7 linked regions of the Rattus norvegicus genome follow. The protein of the gene in region 7 binds, or shares a complex with, the protein of the main gene of each other region. Links are inferred from orthologs where the notes say so. Each region holds a gene or a part of one and is shown on either strand. Other genes may lie near its edges. The genes, in order: Nup133, Nup98, Nup153, Cetn3, Nup93, Ranbp2 and Nup107.

Region 1 (2,950 bases), on a different chromosome or scaffold from region 7:
TCCTGATGAACTCAGTGGGACCAGCACAGCTGTCAGCAGAGCAAACACTGGAGAGGGTAAAGGGGACTGGAGCGTCACAGGCAGGGACACCTGCTGCTTTTGCAGGGACCCTGGTGTGTTCCTCACCCACATGGCAGCTCACAACCATCTGTAGCTCCAGTTCCAGGAGATCCTGTGCCCTCTTCTGGCCTCCCTGGGCATCATGCACACACACAGTACATTTATATACATATCAGCAAAATATTCATAGGCATAGGCAAGTTTCTAGGTGGCGGTGGTTGTGAGTTCGTGTGAACGCAGTATAACTTGGGGCCAGGATTATGAAGTTTTACTGTGCTCTTCAGTGAAGCCGAGCTTTAGTCGGGTTGCTCTGTTTGCTGTACAGGAGGAAGATGTGAACATCGATGACCTGAAACTGGAGATCCTGTGCAGAGCGCTGCAGAGAGACGAGTAAGTCCTCTCGGGCACCAGGTCCACGGGTGGGAACCGTGACTGGGCACACAAGATGGCTTACGTGCTTCTGGGTGTTTCACCTTTAGCGTAACACACCATGGGTTACTGCGTATTGATTGAGTTTCCCGTTGTGCACTCCAACCCCACTCATCTCCCCACCCCTTCTGTCTGTCTTCCTATGCCCTTGCAACTCCCCCAGTAAAACAAACAACAAAAGCATAGAAACATCCCATCTTGGAAGCTGTAACATGTCACAGTGTGTCACACAGTATGTCCATCTGTCCATACATCTTTACTTGCTCTGTTCATTGCAATGACTTATTGGTCTGGCTCCACATCTCTGGCTTCTGTGACATCGTCAATATTGGGTCCTTACTGGACCTTCTCCTGGTTATCCTGTTGTTGCTCTGTGTCATGGAGATCCTACAGGTTTGGATCAGCAGGGCTGGTCCTTACACACATCTCTCGCCATTTGAAGAGTATATAGACTGTGGGCCAATCAGAGCCCTGAATCTAGGCCTGTGGTAGGTAGCTGAGCTGGCCAGCCTGCCAGCTCTACCTTATCCGCACCACCAGGGGGAGCTCTCCACTGCTCCAGCTAGGCCACCCAGTGCCACCGTCAGCAAGAGCAAGGTTGGCTGTCGTGCCCTTAGGCTGGCTTACCTGCACATCCTCCAGAGCCAGCTTCACTGTGTTGCCCAGTTAAGGCAAGGAACCAGCCTGGGAGGGGCTGGGCCAGCTCTCCCTCCCTCCCTCTCTCTGCCCTGGACTGGCTCCACTATGCTGCTTAGGCAAAATGCAAGGCAGGCTCCTGAGTGAGGAGCAGGACCAGGTCTTTCGCTCTCAGAAACATACTGTATTGTGATGAGAACTCCCTGGCCCAGTTTCAAATGTTTAGCCATTGTATGTGGGTGTGGTAGAGGTCAGAGAATAACCGTGGAAAGTTCTCTCCTTCCCTACCTTCTTCACCTGGTGTCAACCTTGCAACATCAGACCTGGATGGCAGAATGTTTACACACTAAGCCCTTGTTTTACATTGGCTGTGGCTGTGTACATGGAGCACTAGAAAACAGCTGCAGGATCTTCATGGCCACAGCTGAGGTCGCACACTCATGGTCAGGAAAGACAGGAAGTGCTGAGAACTGTTTAGACTGCTGTGCTCGGGACAGCATTCTAGGATGCTGACTAGGTTTGTAAATGAAGCATTTTCTTCAGAAAGATGCCTCACAACAGGTATGATAACGTGCCTGTGATTCTAGTAGCACCTGAGAGGTGTGAGGCGTGAGGATAGAGTTTGGGGCTAGCCTGTACTACATAGCAAAATGCCATGTTCAAAAAACCAAAGTCTTAAAGCTTCTGTGGTGGTGGAATTGATAGCATGTGCTGCCAGTGTAGCTTAGGCCAATACAGATGTAGATAGGTCCCATGTCTAAAGTCTGTCACTTTGATACTTTAGAGCAGTGTCCCAGAACCTGTCATCCCATGGCTATCAGGAGAAGGCCACAGTGGCAAACAAAAACCATGTGTCAGTTGCCATGATGATTCCGTTTACCTTGTGATTTTTTTTTCAGCTGGTCTGGCTCAGATGGCAGAGACGATCCGATTGAAGTGTCTAAAGACAGTGTGTTTGTGAAGATCTTGCAGAAACTTATAAAAGATGGTAGGTGATTTATTAACTATTAGAGATTAAATGTTGCAGGGGGCTTGGTGGAGCACATCTTTAATCCCAGCACTCAGGAGGCAGAGGCAGGCAGATCTCTGAGTTTGAGGCCAGCCTGGTCTACAGAGTGAGTTCCAGGACAATTAAAGCTGTTACACAGAAAACGTTGCAAGTTAATTTTGGATATCGTGGGAATTGTGTGTTGCCAACATGACCCGTGCCAGGGGTCAGATGAATTGGGATCCTGTGCAGGATAAGCCTTGTTCTCAGTGAAGGTGCTTTTCTGTTTTTGGCACTGGGGCCTCAGGGTTAACAAGGTTCAGTTGAAGTTCTTCACCCCTTGACACAGACTCTGGTTATAACAGCCAAAGTCTGACTGAAATGACTGTCTGCTGACTCCTGCAAAGACTGCAGATGTGAAAAGAGAAATAGACTCTCGGTGTACTCCTTCCTTCCTGAGCTGCTCAAGAGTAAATGACAAGAGGGCTGCAGAAATGGCTCTGCAGTTACCAGACGGGCGTTCAGTTCCTAGGTCCCATGCTGGGCAGCTCACATCTGCCACACAGTCACCAGCTCACACATGGCACAGTCACCAGCTCACACATGGCACAGTCACCAGCTCACACATGGCACAGTCACCAGCTCACACATGGCACAGTCACCAGCTCACACATGGCACAGTCACCAGCTCACACATGGCACAGTCACCAGCTCACACATGACTGCTGGGCCATCTCAGCAGTAGAGACTTCCGCCAGGCCTGAGGACGTGAGTTCATCCCCACGTGGTGGAAGGAAACAGTCAACTCCTAGAAGTCGTGCTCCGACCTTCATACAC
Region 2 (4,672 bases), on a different chromosome or scaffold from region 7:
AGTTCTTTCCTTCCACTATGCAAAGCCAGGAATGGACTCTCATTAACATGCTTGGCAGAAAGTGTTTACCTTGTCTTGTCATCTTCTGATCCTCCTACCTCCACCTCCCAAATGCTGGGACTGCAGCTGTGCACCTCTATGTCCAGTTATGTGTTGCTGGGGATTGAACTGGCAGGCATGCGCTGTATCAACGGAGCTACATCACCAGCCCCGACACCACTTCATTTTTAAGATTCTTTTAAAAATATAGATCCCATTATAGTCGGTTGTGAGCCACCGTGTGGTTGCAGGGAATTGAACTCTCAGGACCTCTGTAAGAGCAGCAATGTTCTTAATCGCTGAGTCCATCTATCTCTCCAGCCCTTTCAAGTTGTTTTTATTTGCAGGAATCATTTAAAATTCTTGAGCAATGTCTTTTTTTTTTTTTTTTCCGGAGGTGGGGATCGAACCCAGGGCCTTGCGCTTGCTAGGCAAGCACTCTACCACTGAGCTAAATTCCCAACCCCCTTTTAAAATTCTTAACAAATCTCGTTTCAGTTCTATACTGATGCCCCAGGAGGTGGTGGAGAAGTAGCGTGTACCCTCTCTTTTGAGCACAGCTCCTGCTATCTGTGAGACCTCAATAATTAGAGAGGTCCGATTTCTAGAACATGTCCACCCCTCTGCTCTTAGCTAGGTCCTAGGAGGAAAAACATCAAAAGGATGAAAATGAAGCTTTGACCCAGACCAGGGGAGGGAGGAAGCACAGAACAGAAAATAAATAAGATACAAAGTAACAAGGTCTTGACTTCACCCGGACTTGTTAAGGTTACCAAATGTGTCCAGGAGAAGGAGGGAGATTTGCGCAAGAAATCCAGAACAAGTACAGGTTCTGAAAGTGCAGCTGAGGCTGAAGGGCCAAGAATGCTCATTGGGATCAAGCTCTGTAGGGCAAGTCCATGGCTCAGGTCTACCCTAGAGATTCAGAGGGAAAAGTGTACGAGGGCTGGCTTGCACTGGAAAGAGCAGTGGGGAGAGGATTGTCTGCAGACAAGCTCTGTGGACTGATGGGTCTCCGGGAAGGGTTCTCCAGCTCCGCAAGTGCTAGCTAGATGGCCAAGGAATCTTCCCATGATTGCCCGCAGAAAGGAGCTAGAGAAGGGTAGAACAATTACCATATCATCCTTGGGTCTTCCTTCTGATTGGCCGAAGCTTCCGTAGCGAGTCTCCGCGCTCCAAGGAAAGGGGCGGGGTCTGAACCCAACGTCACTGCTGTTTGGTGCTCACTACTCTAGCCACTCACCTGCCCTCTTCGAGGGCCCTGTGTGACGTCATGACCCTTTCTCAGCCAACCGTTGCCGCAGAGAGAGTGGGACTCCTCGTCCCTCCCCATAGTCCCTCCTTTTTTTTTTTCTTCCCCCTCTCCCCGCAATTCCTTACGCCCCTCCTCTTCCTCTCCGCTCCTAATCAGAGACCGCCTTCACGTTCGGTTTCAAAACGCTCGTCACCCAATGAATAACGGGGTAGGCCTCGAGTGGCGGACCGGCCTGCCAATGCCCGGCCGCCAAGGGCGGAGCGCCTGGGGCCGACCTCTGACGGTAGACGGCGTGTGACGCAGTCGGGCCTCTACGCGCTGCGCCCGAAGCGGCGGTCGGTGGCGGCGGCGGTGGCGACGGTTTCCTGGCGGTCGCGCGCTGCTCTGGTGAGCGGCGGGTGACGGAAGGACCTGGGCTCTCACTCCAGACACACCGCTGTAAGTCGGGAGCGCTGACGGGGCTGGGCAGGTAGATCATCCCCTCTGTACCGGCATCTGCGCCGGACAACCCGGGCCCTCTTCGCCGACCAGTCTCGTGCCGGGCGCGCTCCTTCGGGCCTGCGTGAGGGGGCGGGGCCCGCGGCCCTGTGGCCTGGTTCCGGAGGCCCATGGAGGGGATCCAACTGTGTGGGGCGTAGGCTGGGGGGTCTTGGGTGACCGCCCACTCTGAGTGAACCTCGTTCTCACCGGTGCTACTCATTCATTCGCTGGGTGGAGGTGAGCAGCCCGTGGTAGGCTGGCCCATGCGGGGTGGTGCCTTAGGGGACTTGAGGTCTCCCCATCACTTTCTGGACCACTCTACAGGACGCGTTTTGTCTAGGGTTAACCAGAGGGGTTGAGTGAGTCAGAACTGCGTTGGCTTTTTAAGACAATGACAATTGTCTGGTCAGTGGAATGAAGGGTTCTTTTTGTTCCGTGTAAACCTAGGTGAGAAAGATTGAATTTCTGAATTACTGTAGCCATAAGCATTTTAAATTGTCAATCACCCCCAGTCTGCGTCAGAGGCTTTGCAGGTGGGAGGGAGGGAGGTAGAGTAAGAGACAGGATTCAGAAATCCCAGGAGTCTTGGCTCAGGTCTAGTAGAATTTTTATACTATTCCATCCTTCCTGTATGTTCCAGTCTTCCAATATTGGCAATTCTTTATTTGGTAAGGGGAAGGACACAGACATTTGACATAGTTTTCAATATAGTTCCAGTAGTTTAGCTGCAACCATCTTCGCTTTTATAAGGTAACTTGATTAGTAGTACTGATGTGGACTTTTTATTTTTGCTTTTTTTTTTTTTCTTTTTCTTTTTTTTTCGGAGCTGGGGACCGAACCCAGGGCCTTGCGCTTGCTAGGCAAGCGCTCTACCACTGGGCTAAATCTCCAACCCCCCCCCCCCCTTTTTTTTTTTGAGACAAGCTCTCATTCCAAAGCCCTGATTGGCCTGGAATTCGCTATGTAGAACAGGCTTGCCACAAACTCAAAAGAGACCACCTGCCTCTACCGCTGAGGTAATGTAATTAAAGGTGTTTGCCATCACAACCAGACTTAACATAGACTTTTGAGAACGAACCTTTAAAAATAGTGAAAGAGACTTTAACCTTGAAAGTGCACACCTTAAATCCCAGCGCTTGAGAGGCAAAGGCATGAGGTTCTCTGTGATTACAAAGCTAGCCTACTCTACATACTGGGTTCCAGGACAGCAGGGCTGCAAAGAGAGACCCTGCCTCAAAAAGCCAAGGGGCGTGGGGAATAAAACCAATATAGATGTGGTGCAAGCCTGTAATGTGACCAGTTTTGAAAATTGAAACCAGAGAACTAGTGCATACACAAAAGTGCAGACACTTAACACATATGATAAAAGAAATAATTGAATTCATTTCAATAAAATGGAGAAAAAATGAGGGTGACCATATTAGGGGTACTGGGAAGTACAATGATAAAATTAAATCTGATACTTAAGATTCGATGAAGTTAGTTGTCAGTTTGATGAATATGTCCATTAGCTTGTAACTTTGATGTTTATATAAACCATAAAACCTAAAAACAAATAATGCAAAAGCACAGAAGAGGACTGAAGTCTTAAAGTTGTAACCTGGTGTTTTCTATACCATTTTCTCAGTTTGAGCATCACCACCTGGGAAGCTTTTTTTTTCTGGCACACTTTCCCTTGTAAGCTTCCATAGCACTTAGCTGATCTCTGCTTCTAGCACACATTTTACATATTAACTATTTGTCTTTTTATTAGATTTTAGGGGGTTTTTCTTTGCCTTTTTGGTTTTAGGGTTTTTTGTTTTTGTTTTTGTTTTTGTTTTTTTTGGCTTTTGTTGTTGTTTGGGGGGTTGTTTTTAGTTTTTTTCTTGCTGGCTGTGATGGGCATGCCTTTAATCTCAGCACTCCAGAGTTACAGGGAGGTGGATCTCTGGGACTTTGAGGTCAGCCTGGTCTGTATAGAAAGTTTCAGGCCAGTCAAAACTGCATAATGAGACTCTTTCTCAAAAAACAAATGATAGATACTTAATTTTTTTATGTTTAGGTAATGTGGCTCATAGGTGGTACTCAGTTGTATTTTGTGAATGAACAAATGTAGAAAAGTTAAACTGAAAAATATTCCAGGAAACAGGCTAGATATTTGTGTACTTCTGAAATACTTGGTTTGGTTTGGTTTGTAGCCACTAGCTCCTAGGTATCTAATTATACTTGTAAGGCCACCAAATTCACATTTGGGGAAATAATATTACTTGTGTGGTGATAGTCTAGGACATCAGTATTGTAATACCGAATAATTTCTAGTAAAAGACTATAAAATTCTGAAGTTCTATGCCTTGAATTCCAGCACTCAGGAGGTAGAGACAGGGTGATCTCTGAGTTTGAGGCTAGCCTGGTCTACAAATCTGTCTTCAGGAAAACCAGGGTTGTTACACACAGAAACTCCATCTCACCACCACCCCCATATACATACATACATACATACATACATACATACATACACACATACATACATACATATATATGTATACATATGTATATATGAGTATATATATTATGTAAATCTTAATAGAGGCCGGATATTAAGCATTTTATGAGACTTTGGTGTGCTGTTGAAATAGCAGCTGAGATTATTGAGATAATTTTTTAATTTGGAGGATCTCTTGTGAGTTGTAGAATATGTAACAGCTTTCTTTCCTCCTCTACCTGTTTGATAGCAGTTAGCCATTCCTGCCCAAGTTGTAACTACCAAGGTCAAGAAATTATCAAAAATATCCCTGAGTGAAATCACTGCTTACATTTTAGTAAAGCTCTTTCTTTACTTTACTTGTAAAGTTAGTTCATAAACTGTCTAAAAACTTTTTTTTGACAATATTCGTGGTATGTAGCCTAAGGCTGACTTTA
Region 3 (3,886 bases), on a different chromosome or scaffold from region 7:
ATCCCTATCACATCCAAAAGAAAACTATTTTACAGTATTCTGCCCAGTAATCTTCTGTCTGAAACACTTGGTCTTGGTCTTATTCTAGTCAGCTCCTTCAAAGGTTATTCTGTCACAGTTGTTATTCCAGTTAGTCAAAGATCGATGTTTGACTCTTTCTCAGTTTGGAGTGCTTTCCTCAATTCACTGAACTCACATCTATTCCTAGGACTTCAAATATCAAACTGTGTGCTATAATCCCCTAAAATCTGCATTCCAGTCCCAAGGGTATAGATATAGTCCCTGTGATGAATTCAAAAGCCTCAAATATATATCTGAATGTCAACTTTACCACCTTGAAATCTGTCATTAGTACATAGTTCTAAATCCTCCCTCATTATCCAACTCTACCATCTGATCCTTTGTCACCATTATCTGCCATTTATATTACTCACGCAAACTTCCGAAGCTGTCCTTCCAAATTCTGCTACCTTGAATTCTGCTGCATTGTTCACAATCATTCCTAATTCTAATTCTAGGGGATCTGATGCCCTCACCTAACCTTCATGGATGTCAAGCAGTTATGGCAACATGCATACATACCACACATAGATACAGACAAAACACTCACATAAAATGAATAAATGTATAAATAAACTTGAAATATTAGGTACAGTTTGAGCTTAGAAACATGGCTCAGCAGTTAAAAGTATTTGCTGCTCTTGCAGATTGGATTAGTTTTGAAACACAATCTCTAACTCTAGTCCTAGGGAATCCAATACCTTCTTCTGGCTTCTTCAGGCTAACATATGCTCATACACAGAGAAACAGATGCACATACACATACCAAAAAAAATTTTTCCACCCAAAAATAAAATGAGAACTGGAGGCAGAGACAGGTTCTTTACCTCTTAAAGAATCCCCTGTAAATGACCAGGCCAAATTTGATATAATTATATCTACACTATGTTATCAATCAAGTTCCATGCCAGCAAGGCTTACATAAACTCTATCTGAAAACTAGAAGAAAAAAAATTAACCTGACCAAATCATCCGTTTGTTGACAGGGCATTGTGCCCAGAAGAAAGGTGGTGGTATTTTCATATTAATTCATAAAATTCCTTTGCTCCTAAATAATTTACTTCCTGATTCAAAATCTCACATCTGTCAACTCAGAATTCTAGTTTTCTCCACATATATACTTTTGTTGAGGTGAGGAGACAGTGCCAGATGGAAAGAGTTAAATATTTTGAAATCAGGATCCTCTTTTAATGCCAATTTTAACTAGAAATAGGAAGAGCTCAGGAAAGAAATCTGGCTAGTAAATCTCACATTACAGAATGTCTACAGACCCACAGCTGATGTGACTCCTACAGTCTTAACTCCTACAATAAACATGTTATTTGCTATCTATATTACTATACACTTTCAAAACAAATTTAAAAATAAATCTGCTAATAATAATTCTAAAATAAAGAGAATCTCAAACCAAATTCCATTTTTGTAACCAAGTTAAAGAGTTTTTCACCAAAATTAATTAAATTACAATCTGGTAGACAGCACATGGCTACAGAGAACACCAATAATCTTCAGAAATAAGCACCAGATTAAAGCATGACTACCTACTTTTTGAAGAACCCCTTGCAAATGACCAACCACCCTCATTTCTACATAGACAAAGGAGACACAGCAAGATGGTCTGAGGAAGACTAAACCACTGCGAGCTTTCAGTACCTTCACTTGTTATTATTAGATTCTAATGACACCACACAGAACAAGCAGCACAGAATGTGTCAGTTCACAACCTAGTCTGTGAGAACAAGTAATCTAAACCTAATCAAGAGATGTAAACTCCAAGATAGTTTTTAAAAAATTAAGACATAAGAAATGCTCGTCTGGAACCATTTTAAACACCAGGGTTTTCTAGGCCGTCTCACAGTTAAATGTTCTACCAAAGTAATGAGTAAAACTATTTCATAGCCATAGCTGTAAAACATACCTGGTTTCTCAGATGTACAGGAGACACATCTGCTGTCTTCTGCCTTATTAGAAACACAGCATACCGGACACTCCCAAGATCCCACGGGCCTTTTGAATTTATCTCCAAATCCTAGTGTACCAGTGGTCACGGTGGTAGAAGAGGAAGCAGTCACAGGACTTTCTGAAGCCACCGTCAATGGAAGGGCTCGCTTCACACCAGTGCCAGGTTTGGGTGTTTCACAGGCTACACATTTTACTGCTTCAGGCTTATTTTGCACTAAACAGGTATCACAATCCCAAGTTCCTATTGCTGGTTTAAATTTATCTCCAAAACCTGTCCCTGATGTAGAAGCTGGCTTGTCACTTTTGCTTGGTGTCCCAATTCCAGTCTGTTTAGCAGTTTCTTTCAGTGGCAGTTTTGCTGCTTGACAGGCTATACACTTATTGTCTGTGACTTTGTTCTGGAGTAGACATGTGTCACACTGCCATGATGATCCAGCTTTTAAACTTTCTCCAAACTCAACCCCACTAGAAGAAAAAGTACTTATTGCTGGTCTTGTATAAACTATTGAGCTTGTAGTTGTGGGCTGAAGAGCAGGAGAATCAACCTTTGGTGACATGAAACCTACAGTGAAGAAAAAAGAAGAGTGTTCCTCTAAACCAAGCCAGTGGGATTCTAATCAAATAATTAACTACATCATTATTATTGAGGGGGGAGGGTTTCCACAACTATCAGGTTATACAATCTGAGAATGATTAAGCTTTTTTAAATTACCTACACAAGCATATCATTATGTGTCTATATGACATTTAAATCTACTTATTTAAATCTAAGTTCTATAAATATAGAAACAGGTCATCTTTACATTATACACAATTTTCTCTAGTCTGTCACTGCTACCTACCACATGTCATTCTGCCTCCCTACAACAATGACCTCAGTACACTCAAGTCTTCCTCCTCATCCATTGCTTCTTCCAAGTATTCCCACAGCTATGTCACATGACTTCAGTATCTATGATCATTAAGTGTTGCCTAGTCAAAAATCCAGTGTTGTCTTCTACCTGAAGTCCGGCTAAAGGCCAGTGTAAAACAGGCATTTCATAGAAGTCCTTCCATCTATCCAGGATTGATATTTTGTCATAGGGTCTCAGTATCTAGCTGAGGTCAAACTTGAGTTCATCACCTGCCCCCAATCTTAAGTGCTGGAATTAGAGTGTACACCACCTAAGCCTAGATCAAGGATCGTCTTTTAATTAGTCACCTTTAAAACTGAACAGTTGTTAAGTCCCAACAAAGATGCGGCAAACCTCTAGACAGGCCTATAAACAAAGTGACTAAGACACTGTCTGTCCTCACCAAGGAGAAATCTTAGTGACAGAAACCCAAGTTAGATGCGTGACATCGCTCATCAATACAGTTTTGGAGTACTTCTTGCTGAAGTACTGAAGGAATAGTTTAAGAAAAATATTCACATGGAACTCTGGTATGGAAGTGGGGAAGCTTTCATTAAATTGACTCAATACCTAGGAAATGTCTTTCTTTGAAACAAGCTACCTTTCATACCATACACCCACACCATCAGGGATCTGGTTTTCCCAGCCTTTAGTACCACAGGAAAGAAAAGAAAGACTGGTACAGTCTGTCTAGTGTTGTCAAGGTATTATCCAGCCAAGCAGAGTAGGGCACTCCTTTAATCCTAGCAGTCTGGAGGCAACACTGGCAGATCATTTGTTTGTGAACAACCTAGTTAACATAATGGCCCAGTGAACTTCCAGGCCAGCCACGTTCACACAGTTCCACCCTATATTCAAAAAGTAAAAGAGAATGAAAGTCATGAGCTTCCATATGCTGCCCATGATCAGGCTGGCATAATCCCAGAAGCAATTTTTCCCTGGGAGCCACTGAATGTTTTTTTTTTTCCTTC
Region 4 (4,686 bases), on a different chromosome or scaffold from region 7:
CAAAGGATTCAAGAACAACAGGAATTAATGGTGGTGTAAAAGACAAGTCAGAAATGAGGACGCTCCAGCTATGAGACAAAGTCCCCATCTGTGATGGTCAATGACAACGAATAGCTAAGACACTGGACAGGAAGAACTCATGCTATGTGGAGGAGGGGAGCAGCAGCAAGAGAACAGTGGGTTAGGGAATGAGCTAAAGGAGGACCTCAAGACTGAGGCCAAAGCTTCAAAGTCTATTATTACTTTTAAATAGTCTATCATCTCGCTACATAGATTCTACCCCTATAATGTTAAAACTACTAAATGAACTTTTAAGGGTACTTAAAGAGATCAAAATGTGATCCTTCTTACTAGGCTGAACGTGAGAAATGTGTTCATAACCAATTTCCCCTTCCCTCTTTACTAGTAATTAAAGCCTTGGGTAGGACATTTTCCTTCTGCACGTAGCAACATTAGGCATCAGACAATTTATATCCTTTGTAACAGAGAAGAGTGTACTCTAAGAGTGTGCTAGTATTATCTTAAAAATTAAAAGTCAATCTCAAATGTCTGAGCAAAGTCAATGATCTCTCCATTTCAAAACTGTCAGTAAGAGTTCTCGCCCTAAAATCTTGAGGACCAGAGTTCAAATCCCCATCACTCATGTAAAGACAGGCATAGTTGTGGAGACAGCAGCGATCCCCAGAGTTCACTCTCAAGTGCTGAACTTCCAACTCAGGGAAATAGCCTGTCTCAAGGCAGTGGAGTAGAGTGATGGAAGATACACAGGCCCTATTCTGCCCACCACATGATACACAAGGGGATGTACAGGCCAGCAGGGGCACATGCATATGCCAAAAAATTTTGTTTTGTTAAAAATCTGAGCTATATCATCACACAGAAGAAAACAACTGTAGGAAGAACATGCTAAGAACTGTCCCTTTACTGGGTGAATGGAAAAGTTAGACTTCCCATCAAGATGCACTCTTACACTTAAATACAAGGTTCTAGAAGCCATACTCCATTTTTACTCCGTTTTCTTGTAGCACCTGTGGGTGGGCACTACAAACAGCCTCACAGTTCTGAAACAAGCTTCTAAAGTAGACTTTAAAGCAACAGGCACAAACGCAATTGAGTTAAACAAAAATGGATCTTAAATACCCTGTTACCTTTAATTCATGATAATCTATGGCTTGGTCTTTGTCGGTATCAAACAGTTCAAAAGCATCTTTAATTTCTTGCTTCTGTTCTTCAGAGAGTTCTCTTCGTTTTTTCCTTTTTGTTTTGTCTACTACAAGCTCACCTCTAGGACACAGAAAAATGCCTTTAGTCTACTTTAACCCAACTTAGGACAAAGAATCATTTTCTAAATTTCAACAGAGTAGTCTGGCACATAAAGAAACTGAGCCTAAGTTAACGTCCTGTAGTCCAAATGTACTTTTATAACCGAAATCCTAATCAAAGTTGAAAGCATCATACATATTATTCCTGTCATCTACCAAGAACATAAAAATAACCAAAAAAAAAAAACATACAAAAGTGAAATTCACAAATGACAACCAACTCACAATTACTACAAAAATCATCCATAAAACTTAAAAGATTACTTTAGCATTCTAAGTCCAAAATGTTTTTAGATTATACATTTCTAACAGTGCTTTGTGGTTTTATTCCACTGATATTAGCCAGGCAAACTATTAAAGGGCCTAAACATGCAAATACTAGGCGCCCAGAATCGCAGCATCTAATACTCGTGCTTAAGTCCACGACGTGATGTTTAAAAGTGTTTTAACTCTCACTTAACATGTAAACGATAGGTTAGACGTCTTCATTTAAAAACTCTGAAGTTTAAAGGAAATCTAAAAAGGGCACTTGGATCTGAAAATGTCTGCCTTAAGAGCTGCCAATGCAAAAAGCAGTCCAAATGTTTAAACGAGGATACGACACAACACGTGTATCAGCACGTTTTAAAAGATGGAAGCTTTAAAACCTCAAAATCTTAAAACTCGGCTGACTGTAACAGCGTCTCGTCAGGAACGCCCTCCGGGTGGACCAGACGTGGGAGATCAGTGCTGAGCGGGTGACGGTGGCAGCCAGGAATCTTTCTCACGTGACCCCAGCTCACACACACACACACACACACACACACACCCCCAGGCTAATGCGCGGTCACACACACACACACACACACACACACACACACTCGCCACACACCCACCCCAGGCTAATGCGCGGACACACACACACACACACACACTCGCCACACACCCACCCCAGGCTAATGCGCGGACACACACACACACACACACACTCGCCACACACCCACCCCAGGCTAATGCGCGGTCACACACACACACACACACACACACACACTCGCCACACACCCACCCCAGGCTAATGCGCGGACACACACACACACACACACACACACACACTCGCCACACACCCACCCCAGGCTAATGCGCGGTCCGGGGGCGCCTTTAAGTGTAGATGGACAGGGTGAGGAGCCAATGGGGAGGGGGGATGTCCGGAAGTGACTGGAGGGTGTCACGGAAACGAGATCCACCCAGGACGCCCAAAGCACAGCGTGCCACGGGACCCGGGCAGAAAGGCGAGCTCTCCTGTGACTTTCCGGAGGAAGCAGGCGGCCAGGCCCGAAACCCGCAGATGCGTGAGGGAAACCTCGCGAGACTTCACTCGGGGAGCGGCGCTGTGGGAGGCGGGGACCGCCGAGGTCTGATGCTCGGCACTCCTCGTCCGCTCCCGACTCGGCCTCCCTTCCACGCCCTCCCTGGCCCCTCTGGGGAACGGAGGCGCGGCCTCCTCGTTACCGACCTCAGAGCTAAACTCATTTTCTCTTCCGACAGAGGTGTTCCGCTCAAGGACTTTACCACGAGAACCGCTCAACAGCCACCAACCTCCACGGCCTCGGGGACCACCCACCTGACAGAAGTTTCTGGGTGCGATTGGCCGAAATTGCCAACAGCCGGCCCATTGGGGCGGAAGCGTCGATTGTCTTCTGTTTCCATTGGTCAGCATTCATGTCAGTCAAGTACACATTTCGCCCTGCTGTCTGTCTGACCCCTTGGATTGGCCAGATGCTTTCCTGAATCCTTTGCGCGCCTGTTAAGTCACCACGCGGGGTTCAGGCAGGCAAGGCTAGGCTCTACGGGTGACATGGTGCTGGAGTTCCGAGCACGCGTGCACAGCGTCGACCGAAGGAAGGGGAAGAAGGCACGGCACAAGCAGCCTGCTCAGACGGAGCAGTGATTGAGGAACCAGGTCTACAAAAAGATGTACAATTCTGGGTGGCTGGTACACCCGAGAAACTTAAATCTAAAGGTGATGTTCTCCAATCTTAGTTCAGTAACGACCAAGCTAAGCATTCTTCCCCGTACAGCTTTCCCAAGTGATTTTAAGGCAGACTGGATTAGTCTTTTCATTTTGTTGTTTTGTTAGGTCATGTACAGTGAGACTACCTAAACCATCCTTTTCTTCTGTGCGACTTGCAATGTATTTGTTTGCTTCTGCTCTTCACTTTCTAGTGCTGTAAACCTTGTGTGTGCATTCTATCTCCACTCCCCACCAAGCCTCTTGAAGCTTACTTCGATCACCAAGCTGCTAGACCGACTGTCCTCAAGGCCACAATTCCGTTTACACGAATATTTGTACCAAATGAAATATCTGGAACTTAGGTGTTCCATAAATACTTGATGCGTAAAACGAAGTCTTATTGTGGAAAACTTGGAAACTCCTGAGCTAACCAAGCAGTTCTTATAGGCATAAATACAATAAACTGGGGCTAGGTGTTAGAAAAGGGAAATACTATATCTAAATTTGTATGTGAAGGAAGGACACTGGGTAATTGGCTGTGTATGAGTTAAGCCTGGAGTGTAGATAGAAATTTGACTAGAGAGTTGGGATAGAACTAAAAAGTAATAGCTAAATGGTAGCATTCCCAAAACCAAAGTAGAGAAATGAAGAACTTGCTGGGCGTGGTGCTACATACTTTTAATCCCAGCACCCAATAGACATACAATCGGATCTCTGAGTTCTTTACATTGTGAATTCCAGGCCAGCCAGGACTAGTAGTGAGACTCTGCCTAAAATATAAAATTAAGTACTTTTATTTCTTAAATATTTAATGTTAACTATTTAGTGCACAGATATGAAGTTAAGTTAAACATTGTACAATTACCAGTGATTCATAAGTGACTGTTCTGGAGGCTGTACATAGATCATAGTGGTATGATAGGTAGAATAATAGCTAAGGCTACATCTTGGTATCCTGAAACCATAAATATGGTACCTAATAGGGGAAAAGATGTCTACGAGTCAAATTAGAATCCACACCTTGAGATATAATGTTAAAATGGGTCATGAGAGGGAACAGAGTCTAATCACAATGTCTAATTCTGACGAGTACAGGACTTTTACCCACCTGTGATCAGAGCCAGAAAAGACTTGTTAAGGCTCAGTCTGTTATCATGGTTTTGAAAACAGAGATGTAGAGAAGCATTCCCCTGAGTCATGGATGCTAGAAGCCGAAATCGAACAGTGAAGAATAATGATGTCCCTGGAAGCAGGAGTGACAGACATCAGGACAGTGATGAACACCACCAAATGCAAAAGCATAAATTACTTAAAGAGTTATGAGACTTTGGCAGGATGATTTATAACTCAGTTGTGCAGTTTGCCAAAGTAAAC
Region 5 (4,520 bases), on a different chromosome or scaffold from region 7:
GAAGCCCCTTTAACCCTAGCACTAAGGGGAGGGTGGCAGAGACAGGTGGATCCCTGGAGCTCACTGGCTAGTTATCTGTGCCCATCGGTGAGCTCTGGGTTCAGTGAGAGAGCCTGCTTCAAAAAAAAAAAAAAAAGGTGGAAAGGGATAGAGGAAACCACGCAACAGCGACCTCCGACCTCCAAACACGTGTGCACATAGCTGCCCATACACTTATGTATGTACATACACAAATGTATAGACATACACATGCAGGCAGAAAGAAGTTCTATGCGGCTGACATGCTAATTATTGTGGGCTTCCTTGACCGATAAGTGTGTTTAGGTTCCCTAAGCATATCAGGCAAAGCTTAATAGAACACTTTATCAGGCAGGCATCCACCAAACTAGAATTATTAATGGTGACAATTTTATCTAGGCCTGTGTTCACATGTACCTCATTATGTCAGGTGGGTGACCTTCACTGAAAGATTAGACATGTCTGAGACTGTGCAACCCAAAAAATGCCTCTTTAACAAGTAAACGCTATTATGGGAGCTGAAGCAATGGCTTAGCATACTTCTCTTGCAAAGGACTTGTTGGGTTTCCTTCTTAGTACCCATGTCTCACAACCACTCCGGCAGATCCGATGACCTTTTTTGGCCCCCTTGGGCACAAGGACACACACACACACACACACACACACACACACACACACACACACGCACACACACACATTCTCCTCCCAGCAGTTGCTGAGATCTGTAGCTTGCCTGTACTGTTTTGTCTTTTCTTTTCTTTTCTTTTCTTTTCTTTTTCTTTTTTTCGGAGCTGGGGACCGAACCCAGGGCCTTGCGATTCCTAGGCAAGCGCTCTACCACTGAGCTAAATCCCCAACCCGCCTGTACTGTTATTTTTCTCTCAAACTTCCAGCAAAATTGTCTTCCTTCTGGGTCTGTTTTCAAATTTCTTTTTACTTACTAAACTAAGAACCTCCAGAAGGATTCTTATATATCCCAGTGACACACTTTGTTCCACTTCCCAACATGGCTACACTGAAGTAAATCTCTTTGAAGTTTCACCACTGTTCTTTTCTGTAATTGGCCTACTGGGGCAGGCGGCCAACCTAGCTTGCTTGTTCAGACTGCCAAAACACAGACTTTTCCCTTAAAAACTCCAAAACATGTTTTTAGCTTCCACCTTTTAGTCAGAATGTCACCTGAGAGAAGCCTTCCTTGGTAACCCAACCATTTTTCTTCAGTTAATTTGCTTTTCTGTTCTTAGCTCTCCTAATTACTCCTGTATTTATTCACTATATTTTGTTTCCCTGGCCAAGCTGAGAATCGTTTGAAGTCAGGGATCTTGTCTGCTGCGGAAGTCACCGTGTCCCCAACACCTAGAACAAGCCCAGGCACTTGCCTAGAGCTCTACAGCGAGTAGCTGAGCTCTCTGGTTTGGTCCAGCTGTGGGAACTGCGGAAATGCTTTCTCAAGTACTGTCAACCTGAACTACGTGGGCGGGAGAAGGGCGGAGCTCCCTTGACTTACTTGTAGCGACAGCTCCGCCCCTGGTTCCGCCCCAGCCCCGCCCACGTCTGTGTTCTCTTGCGGATCTCCATAAAGTTCACTTGGCGGCGCAACGCGCAGGGGCTTCTGGGAGCTGACCGCCTCAGCCAATCAAGAAGCGCGGGCGAGCGGCGCGAGAAGCGGCGGCGGCGGCGTAGTGAAGTAGCCGGGAGCTGGCGGCGAGCAGGCGGCAGAGCCAGGTAAGGCATGTGCGGCGTGGGCGACCACGCGACCCCGATCCTGGGCCTGGCCCGAGTTCGGGGTCTGGCCTCGAAGCAGAACCCCGAGCCTAACTCGAACTCCATCCTATGTTCGTAGCCACGAGGCTCGCGCTTCCTTTCTTGTGGTGGCTGGCTGGGCACGCCGACCGGCGACAGCTCACCGAGTGCTGTGACTAGGCTCTTCTGAGCGTGGTCCTTCCTACTGGTGCACTATCGCCACGCCCACCCACGGCTGCCAGGCGTCACTAGGCCTGGCTGCCCTCTGTGGGTCGTGGGGGGCGTTCTTCTAGAGAATGGCTTTTCCGGGTGAAGGGAGGCCACCCAGCGAACCCCTGTCAACTGTTGTCTCCTTTTACGGATAATCCAACAGGATGCTAATGGTTGCCACTCCGGTTGTCTCTTCTGTTTCTGGGTACCCTGTATCCTATCTTCTGTAAGGAGTGCCCAAATATATTGGGTCCCTTCTAAAAGAAAATCACAGCATGCCGGGCATGGTGTCACTGTCAAAGGGAGTTGGAGCCAGGCTGGTCTACATTAGACCCTGCCCCACCCCTACCTCACTAGATGACTTTCAGCACAAGCAAAGGTCAGCACTTTAGTAACAATAACAGTAATAATCATCATCATCATCATCATCATCATCATCATCATCATCCACCCCTAGTTCCCTAGATGACTTTCAGCACAAGCAAAGGTCAGTGCTTTAGTAATAATAGTAATAATAATAACAACAATAATATAAGCCCCCCCCCCATAGTGAGCTGTAAGGCTTTTAAATAATGTGACCCACATTCTCAGAGTCTGTTACACCCCCCCCCCCCCCCACCGCTACCACTGCTAGACATGCTTTGACTTCAGGTCTTAGTTCTTGTGGTTGGATGTCTGTTTTGCCAGCTCTAGAGGGGCATTTAGAGTGTAAACCTTTCCTCACTCCTTGTCTTCACTGCCTTAGTTGTATTCCAATATTTAGGTTCTACTCGACCTATGTCTTGTCTCTCCGCTGTAGAACATGAGCGCCTACCTAGAACCTGGGTCTGGCACACAATAAAGTAGGTGCTCAATAAATACCAAATAAATGAATGTTATTGATATCATTATAGGCTTGTGAATGTGGTGGTGAATGAGACAGGCTTGTTTCTTGGGAAGACATCATATATATAATATATATTATATATACATATGAGTGTATATACATATGTACATATATGTGTGTGTGTATATGTATGTATGTGTGTGTATACACACACACACACACACACACACACACACCATGAGAGATGAACTGTTGGAGCTGTGGTGAGTTTGGGGTCTCTGTCCCCCTCCCCCCTCCTTCTTGTGTGACTTTTATGTATATGGATATATGTATGGAGTCCAGAAGAGAGTGTCTGGTTCCCTGGAGCTAGAGTTACAGACAGCTAGCTGTAAATCACTGATGTGGGTGCTGGGAACTAAACTGGGGTCCTCTAAAGAGCTGTAAGTTTTCTTAACTGCTGAGCCATCTCTCTAACCCCTGGGCCTATGAGGTAGTTACATTTAGAAGTGTGGGTGTGTGTGTGTGTGTGTGACAGAGTAAAGATCAGGAAGAAGACCCAAGTCTGTTATGGTCACTGGTCATTTTAATTAGCAAACACATTTTTAGTTCTGTTGTGTGCCAGGCTTAGCTAGATGCTCAGGATTCAGGGTTAAATATTTGTGAACCTTTCCCTACAGGAAGACATGTTTGAGAAGAAGTGGTTGCAATTGCTCCACTAGGGAAGAACGTTCAGTATAATTAGGGAGTCCTTTGGGTAGGTTAGAGCAGCCCTCTGACTTGGCAGTATGCTTAGGAGCTCCCTGTGTCTGGTGAGGATGTGAGTGTACTTGACATGGACTGGAGCATGAAGGAAGGAAACTATGCAGAGCTTCCTAAGGCATAGAGAACTGTCAGGGTACAGCTGGGGAGGAGTCGAAGATGGTGCATGGCACTGTCTATTCTACAGAGCATGCAGCCAGGTCACAACCTGAGGTTGAAGGTGCCCCTGATGGTCTAAAGTAGGAGGTATTTTGGAATATCCACTTTGGCCACAGCAAGACTGGGTTAGAAGAAATGGGAAGTTTTAGGCTGTTGAGGTAATTGGAGGAAGTTATGAGGGTCAGAGCAGAGAGGAAAGGTGAGGGTGTGACTCGTTATGAGGTATGAGAAGTAAACTTGGAGATAGGCTGGGCTCGGGGGAGAGGGGAGCCAGATGGTTTCTGGTTAAATTGACTGTTGTGGGGACCTAAGATGAGGAACTAGAATTGTCGCTGGCACTCATAGATCAGTCAGGAGTAGCTATCAGATAGACGAGTAGAAAGAATTGGTTTGGAGAAAGAATTAGAATTTAAAGATGCAGGAGTTTTGTTTGTTTGTTTGTTTGTTTGTTTGTTTGTTTTTTTGCCTTATTTTATGGCCTCTTATAGTTCTCTCTCCTCTGTTTCAAATAACCTAAAGGTTGAAATGTTTTGTAGCTTTATACTTTGTATGCATTTGATTGTGTGTGTGTGTGTGTGTGTGTGTGTGTGTGTGTGTGTGTGTGTGTTGGGGGTGGTGAGATGCATGCCCATGCGTGTTTGTGGATGTCCCAGGTCAGGAGTCTTGAGGTTGGCGTTGGATGTTTTTGTTGCTTTTTGAGACAGCAACTCTCTCTGAACCTGGAGCCTACCAATTGGCTAGACCAGCTTACCAATGAGTCACCCAAGATCTACCAGTCTCTGTCCATCCCTCCCTCAGTGCTGGT
Region 6 (3,766 bases), on a different chromosome or scaffold from region 7:
TGCATGCATATATATGCACACACTCGCATATAGACTTATACATAAATTAAAAGTAAAGTACATCTTTTAAGAAAATTAAAAATGGTTGGAGGGAGAGCTTAGTGGCTAATTCCCAGTACCCACATGGAGGCTAACGACTGCCTGTAATTCTGCTTCCAGGAGATTTTATACCTACTTTTGGCATCGGGGCAATGGAAGACTTTAATGCATAGATACACATGCAGGCAAAACAGCCATAATCATAAAATGCCATAAAAATAGAACACTTGGGTGTGAGGTTAGTTTTCCAGACAGCATATTGTTATACAGTACTAGCCCAGAGTGGCCTCAAACCTGTGGTAATCTGTCTCTCAGGCTCTGGAGTGCTGGGATTGTTGAGCACCCATGCAAAGAACCACATTCTTACTGGTCTCATACAGCTCAGACTGACCTTGAACTGACCTTCCACTCCAGTGTTGGGATTACTGCTGAATACTGCCATGCTTGGCAAGAATCAACATTTTTGAAACCTCTTGACCTTTTAAAGGCATTTTCTTCCACAGCGATAAACTTTGTAATAATAAATCACATTAATGCTTAACCAAGTCAGATATATTACTAGTGTAGGCTATTAGATACCATATTGTAAAACCTTTTGGCATTGGTTAATAGCATTTGTTATAACTAGCCGTTTATGTAAGTTATTCTCATCTTATGTCATAGGTAGAAGTGAAATCTGGAGAAGAAGATGAAGAAGTTTTGTTCAAAGAGAGAGCCAAACTTTATAGATGGGATAGAGATGTCAGTCAGTGGAAGGAGAGAGGTATTGGAGATATAAAGATTCTTTGGCATTCAGTGAAGAATTATTATCGGATCCTAATGAGAAGAGACCAAGTTTTTAAAGTGTGTGCAAACCATGTTATTACCAAAGCCATGGAATTAAAACCTTTAAATTTTTCAAACAATGCTTTAGTTTGGACTGCCTCAGATTATGCTGGTGAGTGTGTACATTCAAATGCCTTTTAATTTGTTTGACTTTTCTGATATCTATAACCTACACATGCTTTGTAAGTAACTTTAATATTAAGGTCTTCCCATCCCCACCCTCACCTCCTTTTAACAGATGGAGAAGCAAAAATAGAACAGCTTGCAGTGAGATTTAAGACAAAGGAAATAACTGAGTGTTTTAAGAAAAAAATTGAAGAATGTCAACAAAATATAATGAAACTCCAGAATGGACAAGTATCCCTTGCAGCGGAATTATCTAAGGAGACCAATCCTGTGGTGTTTTTTGATGTTTGTGTGGATGGTGAACCTCTAGGACGGATAATCATGGAATTATTTTCAAATATTGTTCCTCAAACTGCTGAGAACTTCAGAGCATTATGCACTGGAGAGAAGGGCTTTGGTTTTAAGAACTCCATTTTTCACCGAGTAGTTCCAGATTTTATTTGCCAAGTAAGTGTTACTGTACATACATACATCATGATATCTGGTAAAATTAGACCACACGGATTTGGGAAGGTATTTCTTCTTGCCCTTATCCACATCTTGTGAATTTTCAGTTTTCCCACACTGTAATTGGACATTACTCCTTTTCAAACATTCAGTCTGAAAGGCTCCAAATTTCTAATGCTTAGTGTCTGCCCCCGATTGCCCACTGAAAACAAAACAACAAAACATATTTTTTAGTTTCCAAATTTTTTAAAATTTCTTTTGAGACAGGGTTTCTCTATGTTCTCTTGGCTGTCCTGAAGGTCACTCTGAAGACCAGGCTGGCCCCAAACTTAAGTCTACCTTTCTCTGCCTTCTGAGTGCTAGGATTAAAGGTGTGCACCACCACTACTGCCTTGCTGTCAAATGCATTCTAAAAGAAATAGAGCATTCATGATTTACCCCATCAGGCTGATTTCTGTGTGTTTCAATGTTTGAATCAGTATTAACAGAAAGATCTTTTTGTTTGTTTTCAGGGAGGAGATATTACCAAATACAATGGAACAGGAGGACAGTCCATTTATGGAGATAAATTTGACGATGAAAACTTTGATCTAAAACACACTGGTCCTGGCTTACTATCCATGGCCAATTGCGGCCAGAATACCAACAGTTCTCAGTTTTTTATAACACTGAAGAAAGCAGAACATTTGGACTTTAAGCATGTAGTGTTTGGGTTTGTTAAGGATGGCATGGATACTGTGAGAAAGATTGAATCATTTGGTTCTCCTAAAGGGTCTGTTAGTAGAAGAATTTGTATCACAGAATGTGGACAGCTATAAAATAATTTTTCACAGTGGATTTTATCTATATAAGCAGTTGAATTTATGCTTAATTGTTACACAGTATAGTAATTATGTTCACCTTTTGAAAACAGACGTTTCTGATGTATAAATGTAAAATTGTAGCTTATAGCTGTTGTCACTTTTTAGTGTGTAATTGATCTTGCATGGTGTGAAATAAAAGTTTAAACACTGGTGTATTTCAGGTGTACTTGTTTTTATGTACTCCTGACATATCTGTATTAGAATGGCTAATACTAATTTTGTTAAAAGCAATAGAATTTCCCAGACTATTGAAGGAATATGATATATGCAATCTTATTTTAATTCCTGTTAAGATATCTGGACTTCTTGCATGGTACTTACTGAATAAGGGGACCACAATGCAGATAACTTTATTTTAGATTTGAAATATATATGTATATATATAAAACTATTCCTGTGCTCATCTATGTATAGACTCAACTTATGAATAATAGAGCCACAGAAGATGAGAGTTAACCAAAGTGCTCTTCTGGAATTTTTATGCTCCTGTATAGTTAAAATTAACTTTTAAGTAGGATACTGTCTTTTCTTAAGAAGTGTTGTGCTCTTTTGAAGACATTAATTTTTACATTTTAAATAAGTCGATTATTTCCTTAGCTAGCTTTCTCTCCTTCTTCCTTCCCATCCTCCTTTCTTCTCTATTTTCTTCCTTCTTTCCATTCACTTTTCTGTTACCTGTCTCTACTACCTCAGAAACTTCAGCTTGGTCCTGATGATAGAATTGAATTTTTCTCTAGTTCTTGTGATAAAGTATCAATATTTTTTAAAAGATCGATACCATGTTCTTTGGTTAAAGATTTGCTTTATATTAGATTGTTGCAGTACCTTTTTCTGGTGAATTTTGTAGCAGAAATAAAGTGATGATTGATAAGTCATGACATTTAAAACATTGATTACTTGTGCATCTAAGTTGTCTGTTCCTTCTGTGACTAGATGTAAAATGGGATCAGTTAAAGGCCAGCACTCTCTGAGCTCAAACTTCAACACCAAGAGTTTGCTAAACACTGAAAATGTACTTGGATATGGTTTGTGTCAAGTTAGGTAAACAGAAGGGGATGTTCTTATGGGCCTACTCAGTATAACACTAAAAGGAATCTAGTTAAACCATAAAATTCTCTGTAATCCAAACTTAAGTATTGAATCACCTGTTTTCTTGTGTCCAACCATTAGATTGGACAAGGCAGGTTATGGCTTACTTAATGAATTTATGTAATAGCATCACTATAAAAATACTTAATCCCGCAACCAGATACATGAAATAACCTACCTCAAGTTGGCCTTTTAAAGAGAACCATGTACACTTAGTAGCTTTTTTGGAAACCATGTAATATAAAGTCATGTAAAAGTGGTGAAGTTTTTCAGCTGAGAAGTCGATGCCATATTTTTAACCTAAGTAAATGAATTTTTTTTTTAATTTTGAATTCATCTTCTGTACCCCAGGATTGCCTTGAACTTGTAGCTGAGGT
Region 7 (3,886 bases):
GTGTGTGACGTATGTGCACATGAGTGAAGCTCTTGCCAGAGGGCTCAGATCCTCTCTTCAGATGGGGTTAGAAGTCACTGGGTTTGCCTCCCATGAGAATGCTAGGCTGTCTGTTCATCCTGTGTGTGCCTGGTGCCCAGAAGCCAAAGGAGGGCACTGGACTTCTGAAACTGGAATTACCGATGGATGTGAACCAAGGTATGTGTGCTGGGGAATGAATCCTGACCCAGTGCTCTAACTGCTGAGCTACCCCTCCAGCTCCATGTTAAAACACTCTTGCTATTCATCCTGAACTTAATATTCAGAAAAATACCCAGTTTTATGATGAGAAATTACTTATCTGGATTGAAAACGAATCTATTCTTTCTTACCTACTCTCTTTAAACATTAATGTCAGGAATTTATGATTATAGGGAAAATATTTCACTTCTTTATTCTATTACATAAGAGAAAACGTATCTATAGAACAAAAAATTTATTTTGTATAATTTCTTTAAAAAATACATAAGGAAATACTGATATAATACAAAATTCAAAAGCCAAAATTTTACATTTTCCCCAAGAATGCCAAAGGAAACAAACAAACAAATAAACCAATAATTACAAATATGTATATCTGACCAAAACCAACCAACTAAGCAACACAGCCAAGCAAGCAGGCATCCTCTTGTAGTCACGGGCGCAGAGAATGGTGAATTATGACTGGATTTCATAGCCGAGCGGGTCAAGCCCCTGGTCTAGGAGCATCAGCGAGGACTCCCTTAACTTCTGCAGCAGTTTCCTTAGTTCTTCCTTAGAAAATACCTGACATTTAAAAAGGAGAAAAAAAAAAACATTAAAAATGAGAATATCGGGGTTGGGGACTTAGCTCAGTGGTAGAGCGCTTGCTTAGCAAGCACAAGGCCCTGGGTTCAGTCCTCAGCTCCGAAAAAAAAAAAAAAAGAGAGAATATTAACTTTTTAAAAAACCTAGTCAATCTTAAGAACCTTTCCTTGAAGCTCTATCTGTCTATGTGGCTCAGAGACCCACCTCCCGCTCCTTCACAGCAGGCTACTTACTTATCTATGCTCAAATGTATGGACACTTTTGAAACTAAGTACACTGAAACTAGAACATTATTTTCAGAAAACGCAAGAACTAAAATATGTAAACAGGGGTTTATTCACAAATATTACCATGCAAGCATATCAAGTGAGTAAAAGTTACACTGCAAATGGTCAGGGACTCACCAGATAGAGCTTGTGGCGCTCAGAGGACACCATGTCGGCCAGCTGCAGGCACTCCTGGTATTGCCCGGTGCTGTGCAGTATGGTGTGAAGCAGGAAGCACAGCATGGGGAGACAGAGCTTTCTCAGCAAAACCATCTGATGAGCTCGTTCCGGGTCTTCCTCAGCGTCCTGCAGACAAGCATCCAGGCTGCAGCTGAACAACTATACGCTATGTACGTTACCCACACAGAAGCCAAGTATAGCTGGCCGGTGTGGGAGCTGACACCTGCCACCCCAAACCTCAGCACCCAGGGAGCCACTGCAGGGGGCACGCGCAGGGTGAGGCAAGCCTGGTCTATACAGCATGCTAGAAAGATCCTGTCTCAAAAACATTAAAACAAAACCAACAAGTAATTAAGTAATTCCACTAGGAATCAACAGATTTAACCAACGGCAAATGAAAATGTCAAGGGAAAGCTGTATCTACATTAAACACGCACACTTTTTATTATTATTATTATTATTATTATTATTATTATTATTATTATTATTATTATTATATTAGCTAAGCAATCCAGTATACAACTGTTTAGATAGCATTTGTGGTAAAGTAGGTATCTGTGATCTGAAAGGAAGTTACAGACCAGGAGGATGTGTGAGGGATTCATGAAAACATCAAACACTCCATTTGCTATGATGAAAGGGAACAGTTTTGTCTCCACCAGGTCCTAGAGTGGCCTAGGCACGTTGAGGGTGGACTACTTAGTCAAAACCAGGAAACACTAAATTTCATTTTCCAAATCTTATCATGCCTATATTTTAAAATGTATGTGTACATTTGTATGTGAGTGGGTACAGGCATACATGTGTGTATAAGTACCAGAGAGTAACCTTGGGTGTCGTCCTCAGGAGCAGTGTCTGTCTCATTTGAGACAGGGACGCTCACTGCTCTGGAACCCACCAATTGGGTTGGACTGCCTTGCCGACAAACGCTGGGTTCCTCCTGTCTTTCCCTCCTTAGTGCTAGCTAGCACTGTAAGGAGAGCTTCTAGGGACCAGATCCAGGTTCTGGAGCTTGAAAGACATTATATACCTGAGCCATCACTCTAGCCTTCATCATACCTACTAAAATATAAAACTGGCAGTGTCAATCATATTATCTGGCCTATCAAACTAGATTTTTTAAAATATTTGTTTATTTTATGTATGTGAGTACACTGCTGCTTTCTTCAGATACACCAGAAGAGGCGTGGGATCCCACTAGAGATGGTTATGAGTGGTTGCTGGAAATTGAACTCAGGATCTGTGGAAGAGCAGCCAGTGCTTTTAACTGCTGAGCCACCTCTCCAGCCCTGATTGCTTTTTTTTTTTAGTAAAATTTTAGGGTCAAAGACATGAGGATGAAGAGAATGTGCCAGAGGAGACTGTGAAACACGACACTGCCAAAGGACCTGCAAATGCACCCAGACTAACGGCCCACAAAAGAACCAGAGGCCGAACATCGTAAGAGTAAAGCAGACAAAACTACCAGCTACTTCCTCAGTCCATTAATGCACGATAACTGTCGTACCCTCATCAGGCCAGCAAGGGTCAAGACAGGGATGGCCGTCTAAGGACTCGGAAGCTTCTAGGAGAATATTTCTTTGCACAGTTTTAAAAAAAATAGAAAATTTTAAAGCGTGAGGCCTTGAATAGTGGTGACTAAGAGAACAGAGACTGTGTCTTAGCTGTTAGGAGCACTGGAGGCTCTTCCAGAGGACCCTAGTGTGATTCCCAACATTCACATGGTGCCCAACAACTTTAACTCCTGTACCAAGGGATCCAATGCCCTCTTCTGTGCACAGGCATACATGCTGGCAACAGGTTCATAGACATGAGATAAAGACTAATTTTAGCAGGGACTGGTAGTGCATGCCTTTAATCCCAGCGATCAGGAGGCAGAAGCAGGAGGATCTCTGAGTTAGAAGCCAGCCTGGTCTACAGAGTAAGTTCTAGGACAGCCAGATCTACACAGGGAAATCTTTCCTTAAAAATAGAGATGGGGAAGGGGCTGGAGAGATGGCTCATTGGTTAAGAGCACTGGCTGGCTGCTGTTTTAGAGATTCTGAATTCAATTCCCAGCAACCACATGGTGGCTCACAACCATCTTTAGGAAGATCTGATGCCCTCTATAGGCAGGCAGGTATATATGCAGCAGAACACTCATACATTAAATAAATAAACTTAAAAAAAAAATCAATGACTATGATTCTTTTCTTTTTTTTTTTTTTGGTTCTTTTTTTCGGAGCTGGGGACCGAACCCAGGGCCTTGCGCTTCCTAGGTAAGCGCTCTACCACTGAGCTAAATCCCCAGCCCCAATGACTATGATTCTTAAAAAAAAAAAAAGAGAGAATGTCAGAGACAGAGAGATATCGGAAGACACTTTGTTACAGCAAAAAACAGTGTCTCCAAATTTTTTTTTTTTTTTTGGTTCTTTTTTTCGGAGCTGGGGACTGAACCCAGGGCCTTGCGCTTCCTAGGTAAGCGCTCTACCACTGAGCTAAATCCCCAGCCCCGTGTCTCCAAATATTAATGGAATCTTTCTAATGAATTATCTAGACAGTAAAATGCAGAAGAAAAAAAAAAAACCTGAAAACCCAACAAACCAGTAGTCTTTCTTTTTTTTTTTTTTGGTTCT

Evidence for each region.
Region 1: the proteins of Nup107 (region 7) and Nup133 are in contact, whole or in part, in a crystal structure (PDB 3CQG), measured with the Homo sapiens proteins. The link is inferred for Rattus norvegicus from reciprocal best matches to the Homo sapiens genes NUP107 and NUP133. Residues at the interface, in NP_065134.1 of Homo sapiens: Leu875, Gln876, Ala878, Asp879, Val881, Ser882, Ser883, Glu884, Tyr889, Lys894, Leu897, Arg898, Leu900, Leu901, Gln902, Arg905, Ser908, Leu909, Leu912, Asp917, Pro918, Leu919, Tyr921; in NP_060700.2 of Homo sapiens: Trp937, Leu938, Ile941, Asn942, Gln944, Leu946, Tyr963, Ala965, Lys966, Lys968, Thr969, Leu970, Gly972, Leu973, Lys975, Leu976, Ala977, Leu979, Ala980, Ser981, Asp982, Ile992, Glu999.
Region 2: Nup107 (region 7) and Nup98 share a complex: the UniProt entries of both Homo sapiens proteins name them as parts of the nuclear pore complex. The link is inferred for Rattus norvegicus from reciprocal best matches to the Homo sapiens genes NUP107 and NUP98.
Region 3: Nup107 (region 7) and Nup153 share a complex: the UniProt entries of both Homo sapiens proteins name them as parts of the nuclear pore complex. The link is inferred for Rattus norvegicus from reciprocal best matches to the Homo sapiens genes NUP107 and NUP153.
Region 4: Nup107 (region 7) and Cetn3 share a complex: the UniProt entries of both Homo sapiens proteins name them as parts of the nuclear pore complex. The link is inferred for Rattus norvegicus from reciprocal best matches to the Homo sapiens genes NUP107 and CETN3.
Region 5: Nup107 (region 7) and Nup93 share a complex: the UniProt entries of both Homo sapiens proteins name them as parts of the nuclear pore complex. The link is inferred for Rattus norvegicus from reciprocal best matches to the Homo sapiens genes NUP107 and NUP93.
Region 6: Nup107 (region 7) and Ranbp2 share a complex: the UniProt entries of both Homo sapiens proteins name them as parts of the nuclear pore complex. The link is inferred for Rattus norvegicus from reciprocal best matches to the Homo sapiens genes NUP107 and RANBP2.

The regions. Positions count from the first base shown.
Region 1 is NC_086037.1:68,790,914-68,793,863, reverse strand, and holds part of Nup133 (nuclear pore complex protein Nup133), read left to right. Parts: intron 1-385; coding exon 386-450; intron 451-2,024; coding exon 2,025-2,113; intron 2,114-2,950. UniProt on the Homo sapiens protein: Involved in poly(A)+ RNA transport. Involved in nephrogenesis.
Region 2 is NC_086019.1:166,000,298-166,004,969, reverse strand, and holds the start of Nup98 (nuclear pore complex protein Nup98-Nup96 proprotein), read left to right. Parts: upstream 1-1,603; 5' UTR 1,604-1,732; intron 1,733-4,672. UniProt on the Homo sapiens protein: Plays a role in the nuclear pore complex (NPC) assembly and/or maintenance. NUP98 and NUP96 are involved in the bidirectional transport across the NPC. May anchor NUP153 and TPR to the NPC.
Region 3 is NC_086035.1:18,216,375-18,220,260, reverse strand, and holds part of Nup153 (nuclear pore complex protein Nup153), read right to left. Parts: intron 2,585-3,886; coding exon 1,979-2,584; intron 1-1,978. UniProt on the Homo sapiens protein: Component of the nuclear pore complex (NPC), a complex required for the trafficking across the nuclear envelope. Functions as a scaffolding element in the nuclear phase of the NPC essential for normal nucleocytoplasmic transport of proteins and mRNAs.
Region 4 is NC_086020.1:13,823,324-13,828,009, reverse strand, and holds the start of Cetn3 (centrin-3), read right to left. Parts: upstream 2,920-4,686; 5' UTR 2,832-2,919; coding exon 2,815-2,831; intron 1,285-2,814; coding exon 1,149-1,284; intron 1-1,148. UniProt on the Homo sapiens protein: Plays a fundamental role in microtubule-organizing center structure and function. As a component of the TREX-2 complex, involved in the export of mRNAs to the cytoplasm through the nuclear pores.
Region 5 is NC_086037.1:10,791,098-10,795,617, reverse strand, and holds the start of Nup93 (nuclear pore complex protein Nup93), read left to right. Parts: upstream 1-1,680; 5' UTR 1,681-1,743; intron 1,744-4,520. UniProt on the Homo sapiens protein: Plays a role in the nuclear pore complex (NPC) assembly and/or maintenance. May anchor nucleoporins, but not NUP153 and TPR, to the NPC. During renal development, regulates podocyte migration and proliferation through SMAD4 signaling.
Region 6 is NC_086038.1:27,033,381-27,037,146, forward strand, and holds the end of Ranbp2 (E3 SUMO-protein ligase RanBP2), read left to right. Parts: intron 1-702; coding exon 703-976; intron 977-1,102; coding exon 1,103-1,437; intron 1,438-1,949; coding exon 1,950-2,255; 3' UTR 2,256-3,193; downstream 3,194-3,766. UniProt on the Homo sapiens protein: E3 SUMO-protein ligase which facilitates SUMO1 and SUMO2 conjugation by UBE2I. Involved in transport factor (Ran-GTP, karyopherin)-mediated protein import via the F-G repeat-containing domain which acts as a docking site for substrates.
Region 7 is NC_086025.1:55,239,152-55,243,037, forward strand, and holds the end of Nup107 (nuclear pore complex protein Nup107), read right to left. Parts: intron 1,398-3,886; coding exon 1,230-1,397; intron 805-1,229; coding exon 697-804; 3' UTR 459-696; downstream 1-458. UniProt on the Homo sapiens protein: Plays a role in the nuclear pore complex (NPC) assembly and/or maintenance. Required for the assembly of peripheral proteins into the NPC. May anchor NUP62 to the NPC. Involved in nephrogenesis.